5 separate regions of the Mus musculus genome follow, and all the other regions are reported to be linked to region 1. The links are microRNA targets in miRTarBase. Many come from high-throughput screens and were not tested one by one. Region 1 holds a microRNA gene; each other region holds the end of a gene's coding sequence.
What was found. The annotated mature microRNA mmu-miR-883a-5p reads UGCUGAGAGAAGUAGCAGUUAC and lies in region 1 at 3,132-3,153, shown strand. An mRNA with a match to its seed (bases 2 to 7 or 8) in the 3' UTR can be bound and repressed. Matches are read on the target gene's strand: a 7mer-m8 pairs with bases 2 to 8, a 7mer-A1 pairs with bases 2 to 7 and ends in A, and an 8mer does both.

Region 2: miRTarBase lists Cdk9 as a target of mmu-miR-883a-5p. Seed matches in the 3' UTR shown: 7mer-m8 at 1,041-1,047, 7mer-m8 at 1,385-1,391, 7mer-m8 at 2,127-2,133 and 7mer-A1 at 2,837-2,843.
Region 3: the mRNA of Itgav is a reported target of mmu-miR-883a-5p. Seed matches in the 3' UTR shown: 7mer-m8 at 1,476-1,482.
Region 4: miRTarBase lists Nif3l1 as a target of mmu-miR-883a-5p. Seed matches in the 3' UTR shown: 7mer-A1 at 1,268-1,274.
Region 5: miRTarBase lists Medag as a target of mmu-miR-883a-5p. Seed matches in the 3' UTR shown: 7mer-A1 at 1,960-1,966 and 8mer at 1,910-1,917.

What each region holds. Positions count from the first base shown.
Region 1 is chrX:66,779,436-66,783,955 of GRCm38, reverse strand. Mir883a (microRNA 883a) reads left to right here and starts at 3,123; the gene lies at 3,123-3,198. Mir742 (microRNA 742) reads left to right here and starts at 3,519; the gene lies at 3,519-3,583. It also overlaps the pseudogene Gm14681.
Region 2 is chr2:32,704,262-32,708,781 of GRCm38, reverse strand. It overlaps Cdk9 (cyclin-dependent kinase 9 (CDC2-related kinase)), which reads left to right. Exons shown (of 7, transcript NM_130860.3): 7 at 493-3,000. The coding sequence ends at 858. Among named protein-coding and RNA genes, the nearest start is that of Cdk9, 6.3 kb to the left of the region's middle.
Region 3 is chr2:83,802,672-83,807,191 of GRCm38, forward strand. It overlaps Itgav (integrin alpha V), which reads left to right. Exons shown (of 30, transcript NM_008402.3): 29 at 209-331; 30 at 569-4,246. The coding sequence ends at 664. Among named protein-coding and RNA genes, the nearest start is that of Fam171b, 7.7 kb to the right of the region's middle.
Region 4 is chr1:58,460,861-58,465,380 of GRCm38, forward strand. It overlaps Nif3l1 (Ngg1 interacting factor 3-like 1 (S. pombe)), which reads left to right. Exons shown (of 7, transcript NM_022988.3): 7 at 281-1,416. The coding sequence ends at 465. Orc2 (origin recognition complex, subunit 2) reads right to left here. Exons shown (of 18, transcript NM_008765.3): 18 at 1,911-3,430. The coding sequence ends at 3,344. Among named protein-coding and RNA genes, the nearest start is that of Gm23966, 3.5 kb to the right of the region's middle.
Region 5 is chr5:149,428,984-149,433,503 of GRCm38, reverse strand. Medag (mesenteric estrogen dependent adipogenesis) reads right to left here. Exons shown (of 5, transcript NM_027519.4): 5 at 1,781-3,717. The coding sequence ends at 3,593. Among named protein-coding and RNA genes, the nearest start is that of Tex26, 8.4 kb to the left of the region's middle.

The sequences.
Region 1 (4,520 bases):
CTAAGCCCTGCAAGGTGAGTGAACCCCGGCCGAGAATAAGGCCCATGGTTCCCGGGGGCAAGGATGGTATAGGCTCCACCGGCACCGGCTGAATACTCATTTGAGGCATTAGTAGGAAGTCGGAGGCGGCACGCAGGTCCACCCTTGTGGGTCTTCCTGGGTCGCCTCTCTGACTGCTTCCTGGGTCCTGACAAACCGGTTCCCATATCTTTGAGGGCCCTGGGACCGAGGGCCCAATGACCCGTTTTTTGGCACATAAGCTGATTGACTATCAGGTGGGGGAAGAATTCTGCCCTTTATATCCCTCACAGAGCGACACTGGTCAGCTCTATGATAACCCTTGCCACACTTAGAGCAAAGAGTGAGGGTTCCCCGCTTTTTATCTGGAGCTCTGCAATCTTTCTTAAGATGCCCAGGCTTTCTGCAGTTAAAACATGTCCTCCGATCATTTCTGCCCATGGAGCATTTTTGGGATTGAAGGATGGCAGCCGCTAAGCCTGCATTGCTGAGAGGTCTAAAGGTCCCTGGTTCGATCCCGGGTTTCAGCACCAATTCTTATTAACGCGTTCTCACGACCGGCCAGGAAAGACGCAACAAACCAGAATCTTCTGCGGCAAAGCTTTATTGCTTACATCTTCAGGAGCCAGAGTGCAAGAGAGCAAGCAAGCAAATGGCGAAACCCCATCCCTTTTTAAGGAGAATTATCCTCCACCTAGGATGTAGTACTTCCTGATTGGCTGCAGCCCATCGGCCCAGTTGTCATCACGGGAAAGGCAGAACACATGGTGGGAAAACTGCCCCTGCATGTGTGCAGACTATGTTTACCACTTAGAACACAGCTGTCAGTGCCATCTTATAATGGCAAATGTGAGGGCGGCTCCTCACACAAGGTGAAGTTTTGCTTCTAGCACAGTCTCTACAAAGATTGATTTATAGATAAATAATACTTAAATTTGGTCTTATCATGTTTTTTATTTATATCTCATGTTGCCTCCCTTACAGTCCCTCTTCCATTGCCCCTCATCCAGGCTCATCAAGTCTGCATAATTAGGATAATCCTCTCCTACAGAGGCAGGACAAGGCTGACCTCTGCTACATATGTGCCAGGGGTCTTTGTCCAACCGATGTATGCTCATTGGTTGGTGAAAAAGTCTCCAGTAGCTTCCAGTGGTCCAGGTTAGTAGACATATTTGGTTTTCCTATGGTGTTCCTGTTGCCTTCAGGCCCTTCAGTCCTTTCCCCAACTTGTCCATAAGTCGTCTGAAACCTCTGTTCAATGTTTGGTTGTGGGACTCTACATCTATTCACTTAGCTTCTGGTTGGAACTTCTCAAGGCATAACAGAGTTTGCAAGCATAACAGAGTATCATTAATAATGTCAGAGATTGGTGTTTTTTCATTTGATGGATCTCACTTTGGACGAGTTATTGGTTGGCCATTCCTTCAGTCTCTGATCTATCTTTGTCCCTGCATTTCTTTTAGACAGGACAAATTTTGAGATTCCATCTTACACAAATCAGCATAGCTAAGATAAAAAACTGATGCAACAGCAGATGCTGGCAAGGATGTGGAGAAGAAAGAAGAACATTCCTCCATTGCTGGTGGGATTGCAATCTTGAAGACCCATTCTGGAAATCAATCTGGTGTTTTTTCAAAAAAATTGTAAATAGTTCTACCTGAAGATTCAGCAATACTGCAACCCAGATATTCTTCACCTGAAGAATAGATAGAGAAAATGTATTTCATTTACACAGTGGAATACTACTCAGCTATTAAGAGGGAGGACATCCTGAGTTTTGCAGTCAAATGGATGGAACTAGAAAATATCCTGAGTGAGATAACCCAGACAGAAAAGAACATGCATGGTATGTACATACTTATACCCATGACATACGCCCACAGACCCTAAGAAGTTAAACAAGAAGGAAGGCCCAATTGAAGATGCTTGAATCACACTTAAAAAGGGTAACAGAACTGTCATGGGAGGCAGAGGGAGCAATGTGGGTATGTGAGGGGGATATGTTTGCAGGATCAGGTGTGGGAAGGGAAAAGAAAGAGGCCCATAGGCCCAGGAGAATGAATGGAAATCTCTATCTTGCAGGGGACTTACGGGTGGAGGTAATCTCTAAGCAGACCCTGAGACCTAGGATAGGGAAGGCTCCCAGGAGCCATTGTGTGTGACCTTAGCTGAGATGCCTAACAATGTGGACATGGAACCTGAAGAGGCCACCTCCTATAAACAGGCAGGACCTCCTGTGAAAGATAAGGACACGAACCCACCCATAAAACTTTTGACCTAAAATCCACATTTTTTAAATTATATTTTTATTAATCCTTTACAATTTCATATTCACTTTGGTCATAATTATAATTAAGTTTGATAAAAGAATATGTTTTGTTGTGATCATCATTTCTCTTTAAGTTAGGGTAGTGACAGGTTTTTATGTGAAATGTACATGCAAAATCAATTGGATTTTCAATATCATCAGCTTAAGTGTGAAATCAAACATTTACAGACACAGTTTAGTGGGGGTGTGTTTAATTGTGAAGATTGTGATAAAAGCTGTTGGATGAAATTGTTGTTGTTGAGATGAAGTACAAAGGATCAGTCTATGCTATCTCAAAGTACAGATTAATACATACTGAAGCCTTCATTTGATATATTCTCTTGATGCTGATGACTAAATCATTGCAGGTATCTTGAGGTCTTGCCTTGTTCATTTGTTATTCTTTGGTGTCACCTGACCTATATATTTATAAGAATATTTGTCTTGTTAATTCTATTTTTGTTTTGTTTTGTTTTGTTTTTTTGAGACAGGGTTTCTCTGTTGACCAGGCTGGCCTTAAACGAACTCAGAAATCCGCCTGCCTCTGCCTTCCGAGTGATGGGATTCACGCCCGGCTATGACTTGTTAATTCTTAACCTCTTGAATTCATACAGATTCGAGGAGTATCAAGAAAGAAGCAAGTCTGATACCTTGAAATGGAGATGGAAGATAATGGAAAATATGATTATACTTCCTGAGGAATTATGTGTAAAGAAATAACATTGCATTCATGTCATACTGAGAAGAATCATGAAAGTTGTTTTTGAAGTCAGCTGATAATAATAATAATTCGTGTGCACTATAATGCTGAGAGAAGTAGCAGTTACTTTATTCTATAAGTAACTGCAACAGCTCTCAGTATTGTAAGGCTCAACAAACGCAGGGATGGTAGCCATATGGTCATATTATGCCTTCATAGAGAAGATAAATGTACTGATTCTGGATTATACTTCATCCATCTTCATGATATCTTCAGATCTATAACCATAGAGAAGAGAACGGTTGTAGAACTTTAGAAGTATACTAAGAAAAATCCTAATGGTGGAACATGAGAAGACAGCTTCGAAGAAGAATGTGTGGTTAAAAAAAAAAAGTAATTATTGTTGACGACTTACTTCAATGTTCTATTCAATTTTATTTCACATGTTGAAATAAAGACTTCAGATGGGCTGGTTCTAGAGTACCTGGGCAGTGCTCTACTCACATGGTTGCTAATCACGTGAAGTGTAGGTGAAAGCCACCATGCTGGGTAAAGTAAAGCTCATCATGTTCTTCATTTGTTGTGGCCTTGGGTAGTAAAGATGAAGAAACTATACATCCTTATTATGGCTCCAGAATCTGCTTCCTTGTACCTGAAGAAACTATGCTCTCATTTTTTTTTTAAGTTTAAATGTTGTGGAAGTTAGCATTATTCTAGCTTGCACAGAACCCAAATTATACAAATTATAAGAACAGAAAATTGCATGCCAGTCTCAATAGGGATCATGAATATAAATATCAGAAATAAAACCAATCAATGATTTCAGGCCCAACTGAATATCAATTCAAATATCTTGTGACAACTTAGATGATGAGTGCACGAAAGTGGACTGAAAAGCTACAAGTAATTAGAGTCTTCCTTTATAAATATGGCCCTAAGTGAAAAAGAACCAAACAGATTTAAATTCAAGTCACTGAAATTATGATGGTATCAGTGATTTGAATTTAAATAGACCAAGTTCCTATCTTCTGTATTCTGTAACTTTCTCCAGTAATTGAACAGCGATATACAGGTACAATTGTGTTGTATTCTCATCCTATGCTCCCAATATTCTGATTCTTTTAGAAGATTTTCATTACCTAGTTTTTAAAAGTCATTTGCAAAGTATATCACTGATTAATCTTAAAGTCACACTGGCTATCTGGCTATAGGTCAAGAGGTCTTCCTTTATCATGCAAGGTGACAAAGTATATTTTGTATTCCCAAACAGTTGAAAATAAATAAATCAATGTTAATATGTCATGCTGTAATTGGTGAAGTGATGAAAACTGCTTGGGATGATTAGCCTACATGGATGATACCTCCATATCTTCATGCTTTATGTTATATCTCACTCAAGAAGCTGTTAGACAGTTGGACTACCGACAAATCTTCCAGGTAAAGTACTGCTCTTTAATTCAGTTATTTTTGATAGGTTCTAGGTAGTATTAGTGC
Region 2 (4,520 bases), not on the chromosome of region 1:
CAGCACAAGCTTCTAGAGACAGAGTTTCTTGGTTTTTTTGTTTTGTTTTGTTTTATTGGGGTTTTTTTTCTTGGTATTTCGTTCGAGACAGGGTTTCTGTATAGCCCTGGCTGTCCTGGAACTCAATGTAGACCAGGCTGACCTCGAACTCAGGAATCCGCCTGCCTCTGCCTCCCAAGTGCTGGGATTAAAGGTGTGCGCTACCACTGCCCAGCTCGTGTGGTTTTTTGTTTGTTTGTTTTGTTTATTTTTTGTTTGTAAAATGGGAATGTGCCTGGATGGGGGCTGGCACATTTATCGCAGCTGACTTGTGTTCGGGCACTAGGGGTGTGCTCCATCTGGTGACTGGTGCTTTTAACTTGAAGACATGATCTCTGCGATGGAGGGGAGCTCAGGGAACCTCTGAGAGAAATTGTTTTAGAAACCCACTCCCCTGGCATCTCAGATAGCAGTCTTACTCCAACTCCGTTCTCTCCTCAACGCCTCTCTTAGGTGTGGCCAAACGTAGACAAGTATGAGCTGTTTGAAAAGCTGGAACTTGTGAAGGGCCAGAAGCGGAAGGTGAAGGACCGTCTGAAGGCCTACGTGCGCGACCCCTATGCTCTGGACCTCATTGACAAGCTGCTGGTGCTGGACCCCGCGCAGCGGATTGACAGTGACGATGCCCTCAACCACGACTTCTTCTGGTCGGACCCCATGCCCTCGGACCTCAAGGGCATGCTGTCTACTCACTTGACGTCTATGTTTGAGTACCTGGCACCGCCACGGCGGAAGGGCAGCCAGATCACCCAGCAGTCCACCAACCAGAGCAGAAATCCCGCCACCACCAACCAGACGGAATTTGAACGTGTCTTCTGAGGCCGGAACTGGCCGGTGTTGTTCTTAGGTTAGGAGTGGATTGCTTCCTTTGCATGGAACATGTGACATGATGGGACATTTGAGATTTTCTCCTCCAGTACATATTAACTCCCACCCTGGCACTGGGAACAGCTGCCTGAGTGGGCTGGGGTGGAGCTATCCTGCCTGCCCCTCTCTGGAGGTCTCAGCGTGGACACAAAGTGAGGTGGGAGAGGCTCACCCACTGTGACTTTCTAAGAACTACTTGCATGGTGGGAGGAAGGCACAGGTCCCTCGCCATCGCCAGCTCTTCCTCTGGATGAGAGTTTGAGGGACAGAGGCGCCTCCAAAATGGGCTACTTTTGGTCTGGACCTTAGGGGCGTGGGGCTGTGTGAACTCCTGGTTCCTTTAAAAGGAGAATTTTATTTTGTTTTGTTAAGTTTAGAGACATTCCTGGACGCAGTTTGATTGGTTAAATTAAAAGTTGGTTATTTTTTTCCAGTAAATGGCTGCGTTTCCTGTGTTCAGACCTTCCCTCAGCTCTTGTCTCAGCTAGAAGCTAGGGTTTGGTCAGCCAGGACACTGCCAGTTCTTCTGTACCACCCAACACTCTGGAGACGTTCAGGGTTTGCCCTCTTCTCCTCCTGGGTACCTTCCACTGCGCTCTTCACCCCCGCTGAAGGCGTGTCCACGGTGCCAGTGTCCTGTGCTTGGTGTTGGCAAGTGCTGTAAGCTGAGCTGGAGTGAGCTGCTGGACCCGGGCTGCTTTGGCTCCTAAATCCTCAGACTGGACTCATAAGCAGGGCACTGCAGCCTTACAGTCATGGAGTGACAAGTGTAGCCTGTAGCTCCAGGGCTTGGGGGAAGCAGGACAGAAGTGGCCAGAGTGGGGTCAGGTGGCATGGGTTGGGGTGAGGGCAGGATGGAAGGCCAGTGTGGAGATGGGATGGTCCTAAGGATGCAGGGTAGGGACCCTTAGGGCACTGACCTAGGCGGTAGATTCCCCAAGAGTTTCCTGGAGTCTTCTCACAGAGCTGCCTGAAAAGGACAGTTTTAGTCCGCTAGCTAGCTCTGGGAGCTGATACAGTACTTGGCCTGTGATTTTGTATTTTCTTTTTTCCTTGCATGTTTATGCTCTTATGTATTCCTGGTACCCAGGGAGGCCAGAAGAGGGCTGATTCCCTGGAACTGGAGTTAAAGGTGGTTGTGCGCTGCTGCCGTGTATGTGCTGGGAATTGAACCAGGATCCTCTGGATTTGCAGCTAGAACTTTTAACCATGCAGCCATCTCTCAGCCCTTTATTTTGAGACAAAGCTGTCATGTAGACTAGGATGTCCAGAACTGCAGGTCTCCCTGCTTCCTCCTTTATTTAGGGAGCTAGGGTTACAGGTGTGCGCCATCACTTACACAGCAATCTTGGTCCTGGAAACCATCCGTCAGCATCTTCTGTGTATGTATCTGTGAGGATATCTGTCGTTGGGTTTACTGCCCGGGATAATCCCATCTTAATCAGTTATGTCTGCGGAGACTGTCTCCCCGTAAGGCCACGTGCTTAGGGCATGATTGGAGAGGACATTATTCAACCCGCTATAGCGAGAACTTAGAAAAGTCTTTGTGGCTACCAGCAGGTTTCAAATGCTCAGTGGCATGAAGACAAACTAATAGAGCTGTTCTGTTTCAGAATATCTCCCCTGAAGTATTCAAGGAATTCAGCCCTTTGCTAGAGATTGAACCCAGAACCGGGTAAGTGCTCTACCACTGAGCCACGCCCAGTCTCAGGGTTTGTATTCACTGACTCCCTCCGCAGCTTCCTGGAAGTCACTGTGTATAATAGATTTATTGTTGGATTTAGACTTCACCATAGCCCAGGGGACTTTCTCCAGTCGCCATTTTCCGGTTAAGTTTCATGGCTGGGAATTCAGGCTCTAGTAGGTTCCAATTAATTACTCTGATGGAGTAGAGTCCATTAGAAGTGAAGGCCTGGGGCTGGAGAGATGGCTCAGCAGCTAAGAGCACTGACTGCTCTTCTGGAGGTCCTGAGTTCAAATTCCAGCAACCACATGGTGGCTCACAACCATCTGTAATGAGATCTGATGCCCTCTCTGGTATGTCTGAAGACAGCTACAGTGTACTTACTATGTGTGATAATAAATAAATCTTTCAAAAAAAAAAAAAAAAGTGAAGGCCTGGGGAGATGGCAAGTCAGTCAAGTGCTTGCTGTCCAAGCACAAGGAAGCACTAAGGAGGTGAGAGGGGTCTGGCTTTCTGGCCAGCTAGTCAGGCTGAGTCAGTAGGCTCAGTGTGAGACCCTGTCTTTTTGTTGTTTGTTTGTTTTGAGACGGTTTCTCTGTATAGCCCTGGCTGTCCTGGAACTCTGTAGACCAGGCTGGCCTCGAGCTCAGAAATCTGCCTGCCTCTGTCTCCCAAATGCTGGGATTAAAGGCATGTGCCACCACTGCCCAGCTGAGGCCCTGTCTTAAAAAGGAAAAAACGAACAGTTGAGGAAGACACCAGTCAACCTCTGATTTTCACACACTTGCACACACACATGAACATTATACACACAAGCGTGTGTGTGAACATTTACGTTCATTACAAAGTCATGGACTCAGAATGCAGAATGAGGAATGTGCAGAGCAGCTGAGGACGCAAGGGTAGGTGTGGGGACAAAGGCCTCAGGCTGGTGAGGCTGGAACGGACACAAGGCCAGCTTTAGAACTTGGTGAAAGTGCGTAGCTCTGACTTTCCATGCCTCTGTGTTTCCTAATGGATGTTATATCTGTGTGGTAAGCCACAGAGCCGGCCTAAAACTCTGGAGCTGGGCTGCTGAAATGGCTCCATGGTGAAAGTGCCCTAAGGACAAAGCCTCATGACCAGAGTTCCCGCTCAGCCACCTGTATGGTGGGAGACCCTGACCTTCACAGGAGCTCTGTGGTGCGCATGCGCAAGCACACACATACACACACACACACACACACACACACACACACACACACACATGACACCTGCACACGTGAAATTAATGTTTCTGTAAAAATCCCTGAAGCAGCTGACTCCAAGCCTCCCACTCCTCCCTCTAGGAAGGAGCTGGGCTTGCTTCAGTATCCAGACCCGATGCCCAGCTGTAACGTGGGTCTTGTTCCCAGCTCCTAGACACTGTCACCCCTGTGTGCCAGTCTGATGCACATTAGACTGAGTCAGAAACACTAGGGAAGAAGGCCTGGACTCATTTTTTTTTTCTTTTTCTTTTCTCTCTTTTTTTTTTTCAAGACAGGGTTTCTCTGAAGCTCACTCTGTAGACCAGGCTGGCCTCGAACTCAGAAATCCGCCTGCCTCTGCCTCCCAAGCGCTGGGATTAAAGGTATGCGCCACCATGCCCGGCCTAGACTCATTTTCTTGATGTCATTTGCAGTCCAAGGACTTTGTCATGCATCCTGACTTTTTTTTTTTTTTCCAACCAATTGATCTGGTAAAACAGGGCCTCTTCTCCAGTAAACTTGAACTGGGTCAAGGTCGCCTCATTCCCGTGCTGCCCCTGTGTTTCTTTGTCTTGCTCTATTGGTCCTGCCAGGTAGGATGCCAGCCAGATGGGGCCAACTGTAAGAGGAGGTGGGCTGTGACCTGGAGGGCTAGGAGAGGCCAGGGAGAGCCAGTCTCACCTGGGCAGCAAGGCCAACCCCAG
Region 3 (4,520 bases), not on the chromosome of region 1:
GATGTCAACCTATTGTCAGAGTCTTGTGTGTGCGCTTTTGTGTGTGTGTGTACGCATGTGCTATGGATGCCTAACGTGCACTCACTAAATGATTGTATGAGAAAAAGAACGTGGTGTGACTACCACTAAATTTATTATTAAAAGAAAGTTGAGTACTCACTGACTAGGCCAGTGAGCTATTTAAGACTCAGTGTGTTTTCTGCAACAGGTCACCACTAACATCACCTGGGGCATTCAGCCGGCGCCCATGCCTGTGCCTGTGTGGGTGATCATCTTGGCAGTTCTCGCAGGGCTGCTGCTACTGGCTGTGTTGGTATTTGTAATGTACAGGGTAAGTAATGGGCGTTGAAGGGGGTAGGGGGATGGAATAAGAGAAGAAGGGACAGGATGAAGGGAGTAAAGAAAAGGAGAAAAGGACCCACAGTGTTGCTGCCTGGTGAGCAGGGCTTATTTCAGGATGGGACACTAAACAAAAACGCCATTTGAATTTTCGAGGTGATAATAGAGTCGGTCATACTTTCAGCGATCTGTTACTGAGCTAGAACTATGCTTTTTCTTTAACTGGCAGATGGGCTTTTTCAAACGTGTCCGACCACCTCAAGAAGAGCAAGAAAGAGAACAGCTTCAGCCTCATGAGAATGGCGAAGGAAACTCTGAAACCTAAGGTGCTTCTTAAGTGGCGCCACTTCTGTCCGCTCCAAGTTCACCACCGTGGTGGTGGATTTCAACATCTCTCGTGAACAGTGAAATCCCAGGACTGTATTGCTGAGAGCACCCAGCAGTCTCAGTTTATCCACAAAATTGAAATGGATATTTGTCGACTTCTCTTTATGAATAAGTTCAGATTACATTTACTTCGCCTACACTAACGTGTGTTCTTAGGGACTTAAGTGATGGAATTTCAAGTGATTATCTTTGTTCAGTGTACATAAGACAGACAGCACTGAGTCAGCACGTTACATAGCATAGTACCTCTTCAGTTACTGTTCCTAATTGACTGTGTGGGGTTTCTCTCTTCGACGTTACGTTAGGGCAATTAGGATTGTAAAGCAGTTCAAATTTAGACCATCAGTAAGTTTGCACAGGCACTTAGAACAGGTACACATTACACTACAGTTGACTTCATAAGCTACTGAAGACTTTGCAATTGCATGGACTTAGATTTTAATATCATTTACACAGTAGAACTTTTAAATAACACGATACCATCAAAATTCTTTCCTGGGACTATAGCTCACTTCGAAGCGTGTGCAACTCCCTGGGTTCAATCCTGCACACTGGGAGGAAAACCAGCAGTTTCCTGTATTAACAATGGTACAGTATTTTTATATGAAAGTTAGGTTTTTATTTATGTGTAGTCTGCATTGTGTCTTATTGTATTTTAACTTTTGTAATTTAAATTCTACATCAAATCCTTTAAGTCGTTTCCTGCAGAAAATTTTATAATTAAAAATACCCGTTAAGTAATAGTGTGGTCTCAGCTGCTGCTGCTGCTGCTGCTGCTGCTGACTGAAGCCCGTGGAGTTGGAAGGGGTTTTTGAAGTACATCTATTCCCTTTGTTTGGCTGCCTGCAATGTGGAAAAGCCCTGGAGACTCTCCATGGGTCTCTACTCTAACTGCTCATCAAAAAGACATTCTTTAATTGGACCAGAGCGTTTAATTATTAGTAATTTATTTTCCTCCTGTCCTCATATTTTCCTTCCACTTCCAAAACTGAGAATGGCTCAAGACCTTCTTCATAACCTATAGGAACCTGGATCTCGCGCCCTTACCCCACGAGAGATGCCTGGGACCCACATTCCAAAGGTGGCTCATGGGATGGTTTCTAGCAATAGCATGGTAGAACCTCAGGTTAAGCAAGGTGATCTATAAAACCTGCCTCCACTGTCAGAAAGAATGCTACAAAGGTGTTTTTGTAAGCAGTTCTTGTTCCTTAAACCTTCTAACTCTGTCTTACATTTTTTAATTTAAATTACCTTTCTGGGACTTTAATAGAGGCAGCAGAGGAAGCACGGGACCGTCTTAAGTGGTGGTGATTTATTCACAGTTCCTCAAGGCCCCGGGATAACTATCAATTATAGCTCTATTTTTGTGCAATTACATCATGTTATGCATTGGAAGTTGAGAATTTTAATAGCTTTTTAAAATGCTGTCCTCATTAAGCAATGAAAAATATTTCTCTTAAATAATTGAATATTTTTCTACATTTTAAAAGTAATTGAAGTTTGTCTCACCGTATCTTAGGCTAATTCCATGTGCATATGGATGAGCTAATTTGGAGAATATATTTTCATAACATGAAGCACATTTATGTGAGTTGTACGAATTAGAATATAGACAGGACCCTATATTTAGCTTTAATAAAATTTTAAATTAATGAGTTCTGGCTTGAAAGATCATAATCATATATGCAATAATTATTTTTTTAAACCAATACATTTAAATTCTTTTAAGAAACATTTTGGTCTTAGGGACAAGTGTCTCTAAGCTACTTAGGACTACCACACAGGTCACTAAGTTGGCCTATACAAACTTTTACCTTCTTTGTCTGTCAACATAATAGTTGTCATTCCTGAAAATCAATGAAATTCATTCTTTGTAAAAATCAATATTGATTTTTACAGTTATTCCTATTATGGCTTCTATGCCAAGGAATAACTTTCTGTTAGAGATTGAAAGATATTTGTAATTGGAAATTAACATGATGTAGTTTTCAACAATAGCATGGATTTTCTTTTAAAAAATATAAATTTGTATCTCTGTAAACTTAGGAACTGTAATTTGAGAGTTAACACTCTGAAAAAAATGTTGAGATACTCTTTATCCCATAACAGCATAGGCATGTAGTCAACAAAATAGCAAGAGATTATTTTAGATTCATATTTGTAATTTACCAATAATTAACATTTATTTCTAAGCATAAAATTTTCATAATATAGGTTAATTAAAGAAATTGATTGATCCAGAGGACATTTGACACATGTGAGGAATATTAACGTGGATACTGATTTCTTATAGAGATATTTATTTTAGAGTTGGTACTTTAAAACATCTGTGTGAGGGTTACTTTCCTCCCTTATGTTTAATTATCATCATAATTCTGATTGTGTTCTGAATGACTACGGAAGGTGAAACAGTCAAAATATTGTCTTAAATCTACCTGTATTACAATATTACTTATTAATAGTAAATCCTCATGAATACATTATTTATATAATGAGGAAAATCACTAAGAGCAGACAAGAGTTTGTTGCCGCCTTACGAGAACAGTGTGAGTTTCTGTAGTGAGTCTAACCCCGAGGAGGGAATTTAGTGGCAAAGTATATATTGGTAGAGCAACTGGTTCTTGTAGGGCAACAGAAGGCCAAGGTGGCATCCATCCCCATTTGAGAGAATTCTGGGGAGAGCCTCAAGGAGAAGGAAAGGAAGTTGTTCTAGAGTCTCTGTGTGTGGCCATTGCCTATCTCTGTGTCACCTTGTTCTTACTCGTGGCTAGCTTGTACATTTAATTTGATGAGTAAGGGGAGATGACCAAAATGTATTATGGGATCTAAAAAGACAAATACAATTGCTTGATGTCTAGTAATTTGTAAAGGTTTCTTTGGACTTGGTCCTTTTATTTGAACCATGAACCTGTGGCTATGCCATCTGCAGTATACACTGGCATTCATTATAATTTCTGATATGTCATGGACTTCCTGTGAGGTACTGAATCTTTGAATTTTGTTGTCATTGTTCTTAAGTGCAATATAACAATGTAACGAAACTTAAATATAAGTCACTATTTAGTAATCTTAATCCGAAATTTATTAGTATTTTTTTGTTAGCAGAAAAGAACAACTCTGCTGTAGTTGTAGATATATAGGTGAAATTTTTTGTTTTTTGCTTTTTCTTTGCTTTTTTTTTTTTGTTTGTTTGTTTTTTTTACCTCTAAACCATCCAATCTGCATTTTATTTTAGGTGGAAGATGAACTATTCCTTACCAGTTTTAAAACACTTTCAGTATATTAAGGTAACTTGGAAGCTGTGTGTATCAAATTCTTTTGCTCGCTAAGTAACCTGGAAGATAATTTTTTTTGGCTTCTCTCGTGATCACCCACATTGGGTGAGACATAAGATGAGTCTCTCCTGAAATCTGTCATTTGCTAACTTGTTTTGAGTTAGTAAAAGCAGGTACCATGTTCTGCTTTGTTTCCAGTGTGTAACTTGTGACTGTACAATAAACTTGAACGTGTGGTGCCAGCTTCCTGTGTGGATTCTATCCTCTCCTATGAGCTCATGTTTCCTAATTACGGGAACCAGCGATACTGCATCAAACAGTGACTTCAGGGTGGTGACACAGCTCCCTACAAGTGCAAAGATTTAAGGGTATAGTTATCTAAAGGAAGGGAACCAACAAACAAAAGGCAAAGGGAGCCTGGTGTTAAGACACATTCCTCGGAAGGAGATACATTCTTAGCGTTTCAGTGCCTTGAAATAATAGCAAGAATCAGTCGGTGAGATTATGTGAAATTGAAAG
Region 4 (4,520 bases), not on the chromosome of region 1:
CCTGTGTCCTTGCTCTTCAACAGAGATATGACTCAGCATCCTAAAGTGATGTGTACAGTTGAGTTTGAACTTTTTTTCTGTGCTCAGCAGCAAAACACAGGACCTTGTACCCGAGGCAAACATCCTACATCTGACCATACCATTTGTCTTCCATTTCTGTGCCCAGTAATACAGAACTTTGTTCACTCATCCAGAATACAAACAGGAGCTTTCTGCTGAAGGAGCCAGAGTGCTCAGACTGAGTCTGATATCTAAGTTGCTGCTCTTCCCTTTTTCTCAGGTGAAATGTCCCACCATGATGTTCTGGATGCTGCTTCCAAAGGGATCAATGTCATCCTTTGTGAACACAGCAACACTGAAAGAGGCTTCCTTTCTGAGCTTCAAGAAATGCTGGGTGTTCACTTTGAGAATAAGATTAACATTATCCTGTCTGAGACAGACAGGGACCCTCTCCGTGTGGTTTAAATGCAAGGACGTCAAGGACACCATGATGACAGAAGCCACAGATCACCTGGATTGAAACGGCTGTGCAGGAGTTGGTGTTCCACCCTCTGCAGAGCTGTATTGGACTTCTCATTTCAGTTCACGACTCTGGCTCAACAAAAGCCATAGCTCATTCGGTAAAACTGTCTGTAAAGAGTACATTAAAGGCAAACCTTCTCTAATTTTTGTTTTGTTTCTTGGTGGTGCAGGGATCAAACTGGACACTGTTTACCACTCTAGTTGGCAGCATGGACTTGAGAGTAGGGCCTAAAAATGAGGTGAGCTGATGTCTCACGCAATAGCCAAGTTTATTCAGAGCCATCGGACAATTTACACTCTGAGGGCTAAGAGTCAACTGAATAAAGGCACAATCACAAGGACAAGCCTCATGTAGCAAAACCATGGTTTCCATGGAGGTGTATGAACAATAAGAATAGCCAGCCAACTGTAAGGAATGATCTAAAGTCACCTCACTCCTATCTGCTTGCTCCACTGGGGAAGGGCACAGAAGCACATCCCAAGAACAATTTTGTGTTTTTGAAGAAACTGTTTTCTCACAAACACTCAGAAGTCCCTCACAGGACTGGACTATTCTTGGACTATGTTCTAGCTCTATGAATGGAAGGCAAGTGTTCTACCACTGAACTCCAAACTCCTCCTAATTAATGGTGTTAAGTGTTCAAAATATGACTGATTACTACCCAGCATTTTCTGCAGTCACTGTACAAGCCAGACCCAGAAAGAAACTGGGGTGCCCGGGGGGAAGGGGTGGCTGGAGAGATGGCTCAGCAGTTAAGGGCACTGACTGCTCTTCCATAGGTCCTGAGTTCAATTCCCAGCAACCACATGTAATGGGATCCAATGCCCTCTTCTAGTGTGTGTAAAGACAGTTACAATGTATTCACATACATTAAATAAACCTTAAAAAAAGGACACACTGTATTTCTCTATGAAGAACCTAGAATGTATGTGTGTGTGGTGTGTGTACGTAGGTGCACACAGGTGATAGAACCAAAAAGGGATGAGACAGGACGAGGTTTTTTTTTTTAAGGAAAAAAAAGAACAAATGAGGGTGATGGGATGCACATGCTAAGAAAGCAGAGGGAACATGGCTTTTGGGGAGGGGGCCAGATGAGAACCAATACAGGGATACTATGTATTTGAAAGGGCATAAGGGAATCCATTACTTTTGTATGCTAACCTAAAAACTAAAATAACATCAAGAGTTCCCCCAGTGAAATTACACCTCCAGCCCAGAAACCAATTAGGCAGGAATTAGAGCTTCAAGTCAGGTTATAACTGCTAGGCATGAAGGGACAATGCTGCTCAGAGAAGGGGGTGAGTGTATAGCGATCTGCCTAGGTACCCATTAGATTTGTACGATGCATTCAATCCTTGCCAGACACTTCAAAACAAAACTACAAAAGGACTCTGCAAACTGCACTTTGATTTATTAAGAGCGACATCTAATAACAAAAACTATAAAGGCAACTGCAAAGATGTCACATTCTATAATCAGATGTTTGTTTATACTGTAGGAGTTACACTAGAGAAATTAAGCAAAACTGTGAAAGTACATGGAGTTGGGGGGATGTCTCAGTGGGTAAGAAGTACCTGAGTTTGGATCCCAGCACTCACAAAAAGCTGGGCATGGCTGTGCCTGTCACACCAGTACTGGTGTGAAGACAGGATCACTGGCAGCCCATCTGGCCTACAAGGAGCTCTGGTTCAGTGAAGAGAGGCCTTGTCTCAAGGAAATAAGGCAGAAGGTGGTAGAAGACATCTTACTCAGTCTCTGCACAGACACCCACATACCACATTCCACACAAGCAAAGTGCAGACCAGCAGGTTTCATGTTACCAATGTGTATTTATTTACTGAATGTTTGTTTTTGAAACAGGACATCACCGCAGCTTAGACTGGTCTAGAACTCACTAACTAGTCTAGGTCTTGAACTCATGTTTTCCTCTGCCTCTGCCTTCTTGATGTTGGTATTACAAATGTGAGCTCAGGTCTTGTGTCTTAAAGGAGAGAAGCAATCCGTCTGCCTCTGACTCCTGAGTGCTGGGATTAAAGGTGTGCGCTACCTATCCCTGTGAGCTATTTAAGAAAATAGAAAATGTCAATGTACAAGAATGATGAAATGTTTTTATTTTCTACTGTACTGAAAACAATAAAATGTAAATCAGGACTTTATTTCTTAGCCTGGCTTCTCCTGGTACCGATACCAACGATTTTAAATATGCTTTCTAGATTGGACACATGCTCCACATATGCACACATCCCTTGTACTTCTCCCGTGATCTCATTTGAACAGTGCTGGCTGTCTTTATTTAGCATGTGTGGCCTAAGTCCACAAGGAGAAGGCTGTGTCATCTCAGTCCACTGACATCTTCTACCATCATCTCAGGAGAAGCAGGACACCTCCTTCCTCATCAGTCCCGTGAGAACGCTACTCTGAACTCTTGTCCTCTGACCGTCTGAAGCAAGTGCACTTGTAGTAATTCAGCTCTGGAGTGTTAAATTGCCCTCAAAAATTAGGGATAGCATTCAGTATAAAATAACCCAAAACCATCCAGTTCCAAAGAATCCCTGAGCACACTGTACAACCAGCAAGAAGTCTCCAGAGAAGTAATAAATTAAAGGCACTTTTATCCAACTCAACGACCACTGCATAGTATTAGAGACAGTACACCAGCCAGGCTAATCAAAGTTCAAATTGATGCTATGCCTCTTCCATAGAACATCTTGTATGCTGGAGAGAATGACCTAATGTTGGATGTAAACCAGCATTCTTACTGAGGAGCAGCAGCTGGGCCACAATGAGGCTTCCACAGAAAGTTCAAGGATAAGAGACAGCCTATGCCTCCTCCTCTTCCTTCTCCAAGAAATCAGCCAATATTCCGCTGTCAACAGGAATTAATAAATATTCTACACCATCAGTTCCCTACAAGAGAAAAGAACATTCCATCTGTTAACCCCTTGTAAGGAAGCTATCTGGACCTTTCTGTTGAAGGTTAAACAAAACAAAAAAACCCTGAATTTTAAATTTATATTTATTTGTTTATTTTGGGTTTTTCAAGACAGTATTTCTCAAGACAGGGTTTTTCTGTGTGGCCCTGCCTGTCCTAGAACAAACTCTTGTCCAAGCTGGCCTCAAATTCAATGATCCACTTGACTCTGTCTCCGAAGTGCTGAGATTAAAGGCCTGCACCACCATCGCCCCACAGATTTTATTTTATTTTGGATTTTGAGACAGATTTCTCTGTGGAGTCCTGGCTGTCCTGGAATTCACTCTCTGTAGTCCAGGGTGGCCTCCAACTCAGATGCTTCATGTAGCTGGACACTCCTGCTAGATCCTCCATCCTGTTCCAAACCTGACAGGGATTTTTCTGTTTTATTTCCCCCAGTACAAGTTTCATCTTACTGACTTCTGTTGTGTTTTGCGACAGGGTCTCAATATGCATGTAGCCTTGGCTAGCCTGGAACCCATGGATATCTGCATGCTTCCTCCTCCCCACCGCAGGAATGAAAGTGTGCCAGGCCTCCTCCAGCCTTCACCTCATTTGGAAGACATTCAAGTAGCTTTGGCCTCAGACTATCTTTTGGAGTTGTAGAGATGGCTCAGCACTAAGAATATAACTGCTCTTCCAGAGGATGGGTTTGATTCTCAGCACCTGTGTGGCAGCTCATACCTGTCTATAACTCCAGTTCCAGGGATCCATCGCTCTCTTCTAGTTTCTACAAGCACTAGGCATGCACACATACATGGTGCAGATACAGATAAAACATGTATGCAGTAAAATAATTAGAAATCATTTGTTCAGGCAGGCAGGAATTCTGGACTGCTGGTGCAATGCTGGCGGCAAGACAAGTGGGAGTGCAGTGTGTGCCACAGTTCCCTGGCAGAGGAAGCTCAGCTCAGCCACGGGTACCTGGGTCTGTTCTCAGGCGACAGCATATGCACACTCAAAACTCTCCTCATGCACTTTCCTATTCCTGCCTGATAACCTGGGTTTCCTTTATTAAAAATGATT
Region 5 (4,520 bases), not on the chromosome of region 1:
ACACTGTTACTAGGTAGCGTGTGTTGTTTGCATCGAGTAATGTGTGAAAAATACATTGTGTTCTTTCTAGCTAATTGGTGAACTCCTAAGACATTATCTCAAATTTGTGGATTCATTCTGTGTTAAGATTCTAGAAACAAATGAGCAAGAAATTCATTCATTCATTCATTCATTCATTCATTCTTTTTCTCTCTTTCTCCCTCCTTCCTTCCTCCCCTCCCTCCCTCCCTCCCTCTCTCCCTTCTTCCTCCCCTCCCTCCCTCCCTCTCTCCCTTCTTCCTTCCCTCCCTCCCTCCCTCTCTCCCTTCTTCCTTCCCTCCCTCCCTCCCTCTCTCCTTCCTTCCTTCCCTCCCTCCCTCCCTTTCTCTTTTCCATCTCTCTTTCTCTCTCCTTGGGTATTTGCTTATTTTGACACAAGACCTCACATATCCCAGGCTAGCCTTGAACATGCTATGTAACTATGAGTTCTTGGTCCTTCTCCCTCGCCTCCTGAATGCTGGGATTATCCGATACTCAGTTCTGCAGTTTTGCTTTAAGAAATTGCACAGGGTTTTTGGACCTTCTTAGGCGCGCTATCTAGGACGAAGCAGTTAAGTGGAGACTCGGTAAGTAGCAGAGCTGCAGCCCAAAGGCTGTGAACACTTGCAGACTTCCTCTTGCTGCAGAGAGGTCTCTCATAGTTAAACCCAAAGGTGACTAAGTAAGACCCACCTGCATTAAAGAGGACTTTCCTGCCTTACTCAAAATTCAGCAATTTCGTGTTGACTTTCCCAGAAGCATCCAGAATGATGCTTGACCAAATCTAGTCTCCTTAGTTCAGCCATGCAGGCACATGGAATGGGCCACCACAGACCTTGGACCTTCCTGAGGCCTTCTGGATCTCAGTGTCACGAAGGCCATGGCAGCTATGGAGCCCTAGAAAAAGTCACTGTCCCCAGATAGAAATTCTCAGAAAACAACCATGGAATTAGAAGGAGTAGAAGGGTTATCAGGTAACAGGGGAGGCAAGTGCATATAATTGAAACACATTGTGGACATGTATGAAATTATCATGAAACCCATCATCAGTATGTGTAGTTAATATATGCTAATCAAGATGCAAGATCAGGTGACTGCTGATAAAGTATCAATAGGAGCTTGGGTGACCACAAGCCGTAAAGCCATTGTACAGTGTGAGAACTTGACACAGCTGGAGTTATCACAGAGAAAGGAGCTTCAGTTGAGGAAATGCCTCCATGAGATCCAGCTGTAAGGCATTTTCTCAATTAGTGATCAAGGGGGGAAAGGCCTCTTGTGGGTGGGACCATCTCTGGGCTGGTAGTCTTGGATCTATAAGAGAGCAGGCTGAGCAAGCCAGGGGATGCAAGCCAGTAAAGAACATCCCTCCATGGCCTCTGCATCAGCTCCTGCTTTCTGACCTGCTTGAGTTCCAGTCCTGACTTCCTTTGGTGATCAACAGCAGTATGGAAGTGTAAGCCGAATAAACCCTTTCCTCCCCAACTTGCTTCTTGGTCATGATGTTTGTGCAGGAATAGAAACCCTGTGTAAGACAGTCATCCTACAGACTTTGTACTATTCTTACATGCCGGTTGTCCACACCAGGCCATGTGCATGTCCAGTTTGGAGCCTCTTTCAGCCAGGAAGAGTTTTCACCAATTTATAGATTTGCCAATCTTAATTTGAAATATTTGTCAATAAGATACACTATCATCCAGTGTGTTTTAACTTTTGGATCAACTAAAAAAAGATTTTTTTAAACAAGGGACCCACAATGCCTGTTAGTAGGACTTTTTTTTTTTTAAGATTTATTTATTTATTTAATGTATGTGAATACACTGTAGCTGTCTTCAGACACACCAGAAGAGGGCATCGGATTCCCATTACAGATGATTGTGAGCCACCATGTGGTTGCTGAGAATTGGACTCAGGACCTCTGGAAGAGCAGTCAATGCTAATAACTGCTGAGCCATCTCTCCAGCCCAACTAAGACATCTTAATGATGAAATTAACTTCCCAGATCTTCAGTCCATTTCCTGGGGTGATTACTGACTATTTTCTCAGTTCAGTTTCAAAAGAAAATTGTCAATGTTATGAATAGTTTTTATTTCCTTTGGGAAGAGTTTAATTCTTGCTGTGTACCCAAGGTTTATTTCTGCTGATTGGAGAACCGGTTAGAATTTATTATTTTCCTTTTTACTGAATTTAATAACATATTTATCCTCCTATGACGAAGTGACACTTTCTTTTCTCCTTCTCAACCTTCATTTTCTTTCTCCAAATACTCTATGGCTTCTCTCTCTAAGTCCCTTCTTGAGGTAGCAGCTGTTAAAGCCACAACCCTCCCATTCTTAGTGTTCCACAGAGCAACCACACCACCCACAGACCTCAAGGGGCTACCCTGTACCTTTTTTTAGCCACAAATTAAATCCATTACAAGTTGAACGCTAAGAAAACTTTTAATTGTGCATATGTACTAGGTAGCATCTCAGATACAAATGGCTGGCCATCAACCTTGCTATCAAAATATGTAGTGTGGGAATATGTTTTTAGAAGGACAGAAAAGATGCCACTAGGGGCCCATAAATCTGCCTTCTTATGAGTATAGGTGCAAATTTACATGTGCAATGATGCAGGTTTGTTTTTATTAGACAGTCTCCTGTAGTAACAGAGCAAGTTGGCCTTGAACTCCTGATGTAGCCAAGGGTGGTCTTGAACTCCTCATTCTACTTCCTCCACCTCCCGAGTGCTAGAATTACAGGCACCAGGCCCGGCCACTCACGCAAACTTTTATATGTGGATTGGATCATTTTTTTCCCCTTTCAGTGAATCCCACTGGAGCTGTGGGGCAGAAAGCGCCCTGATGTCCAGTGTACCATGGTAATGGCTTAGTTTCCCTGGGCTCTTTTTCTCATATTAAGATTGTTAAAGTGTATTTCAAACACCAACTACTACGGTGTACCTGTAGGGAGGAGGACCCTCCCTTGTCACTGGTTGATTGGCACCCCACCTGGCTTTACATTTCAGGGAGGGCTCATCCTGGTGGCCTGCAGAGATCCTTCAGCAGCCAGTATCTTGAATGTTCATTCCAGTGGCAGGTTGGACATCAGATTTGTTTCCCAGGGAAATATCAGTACTGGCTTTACCTGACATATTTGCAAGAGAAGAGTTTAGCCCCAAGGCTTGCTGGGGCTGCTGGCTGCAGAGGGCCATTCTGTGATCCAGGATACATCACAGGTTAGCATCCCAGTCAGATGCCTCCCACAGAGGTTGCCAGGAGGGTCTTCAGAGTGCCAGGGTACTAAGCAAAGTTCATGGGTGCTTGGTTACCCCTGAAAATTCCTCAGAGAAGTGTTCAATGTCAATGACACCCTATGCCACAGAGACAAAATCCTTCCATCCCATAATCATAACCTTGACGGAAGCCACTGGGCCTGCCAGTGCCTAGGGATGGGAAAGGGGGTCCTCTATAGAACCTTGGAGGGCCAGAGGCTGGCAAAGGGATAGAAATGTCCACTCCCTGCCTTCTTTTACCCCTTTAACCCACTGTGTGCCACAGACCCCCAAAGGGCGACAGCTTGAATGTTCAGACCAATCAGATAAGTTGGCTGGATGTCTCTTCACATTCCAGAAGACTTGGAAATGAGAATTCTGCCAAAAGTGGTTCTGTAACCGATGATCTGGGTGACAGATTGCAGTTGAAAACGTCATCTATTGAACCTAAAAACACAGTAAATAAGGCATTCATTTAACCATCACTACAGAAAGAAAGAGTGTCTCTGAAACTCATCCAAAACAGCCATTTCAGCAATTAGCAGGGAATCCTGGCTTCCACGGGGACACTCAAAAACTAAGCAGAAGTGCATTGATTTCTGCTTATCTGTGCTATGACTGTTGGCTGGGTGTGATGGCACACACCTTTAATCCCAGCACTCAGGAGGCAGAGGTTGGTGGATCTCTGTGAGTTTGTGGCCAGCCTGGTCTACACAGCAAGTTTCAGGCTAGCCAGGGAGGGCTACATAATGAGACTCCTTCACAAACAAACAACAACAAAAATATTGATGGGCATTCAGGGCGTTATAACCACTTTCCATTGGGCTGGAGACCTGAAGTACAGCAGCACATATTGGGAAAGGGATGCTTGAGACACAGGCCAGGGTCAGGGGTCAGGAGTCAGGGGTCATGGGTCAGGAATCAGATTCTGACTGTTGGTTGGTTTACTCATCTTGCAGGACTGAGGAAGAAAACAAGGGCTTCCCACATGAGGAGCAAGGACTCTTCTACTGAGCCACACTCCCAGCTAGAGATCAGATTCTGAAGTGGACAGAACCAGGTTGGCAGTCAGTCTAAGGGCTGCATGCCAGGCTTGGCAGCCTGCCAGTGCAACAGGTGTGCCTAGCTGTGCTTTCTGCAATGGCAGCCAATCCCAGGGGGCCGTCTTCTCCATGGCTCACCCTAGATCTGGCTCAGGGGTGACTTTCTAGGGAATGTGACACTTTGTTACCCTGTGTGCCCTAGTGGAA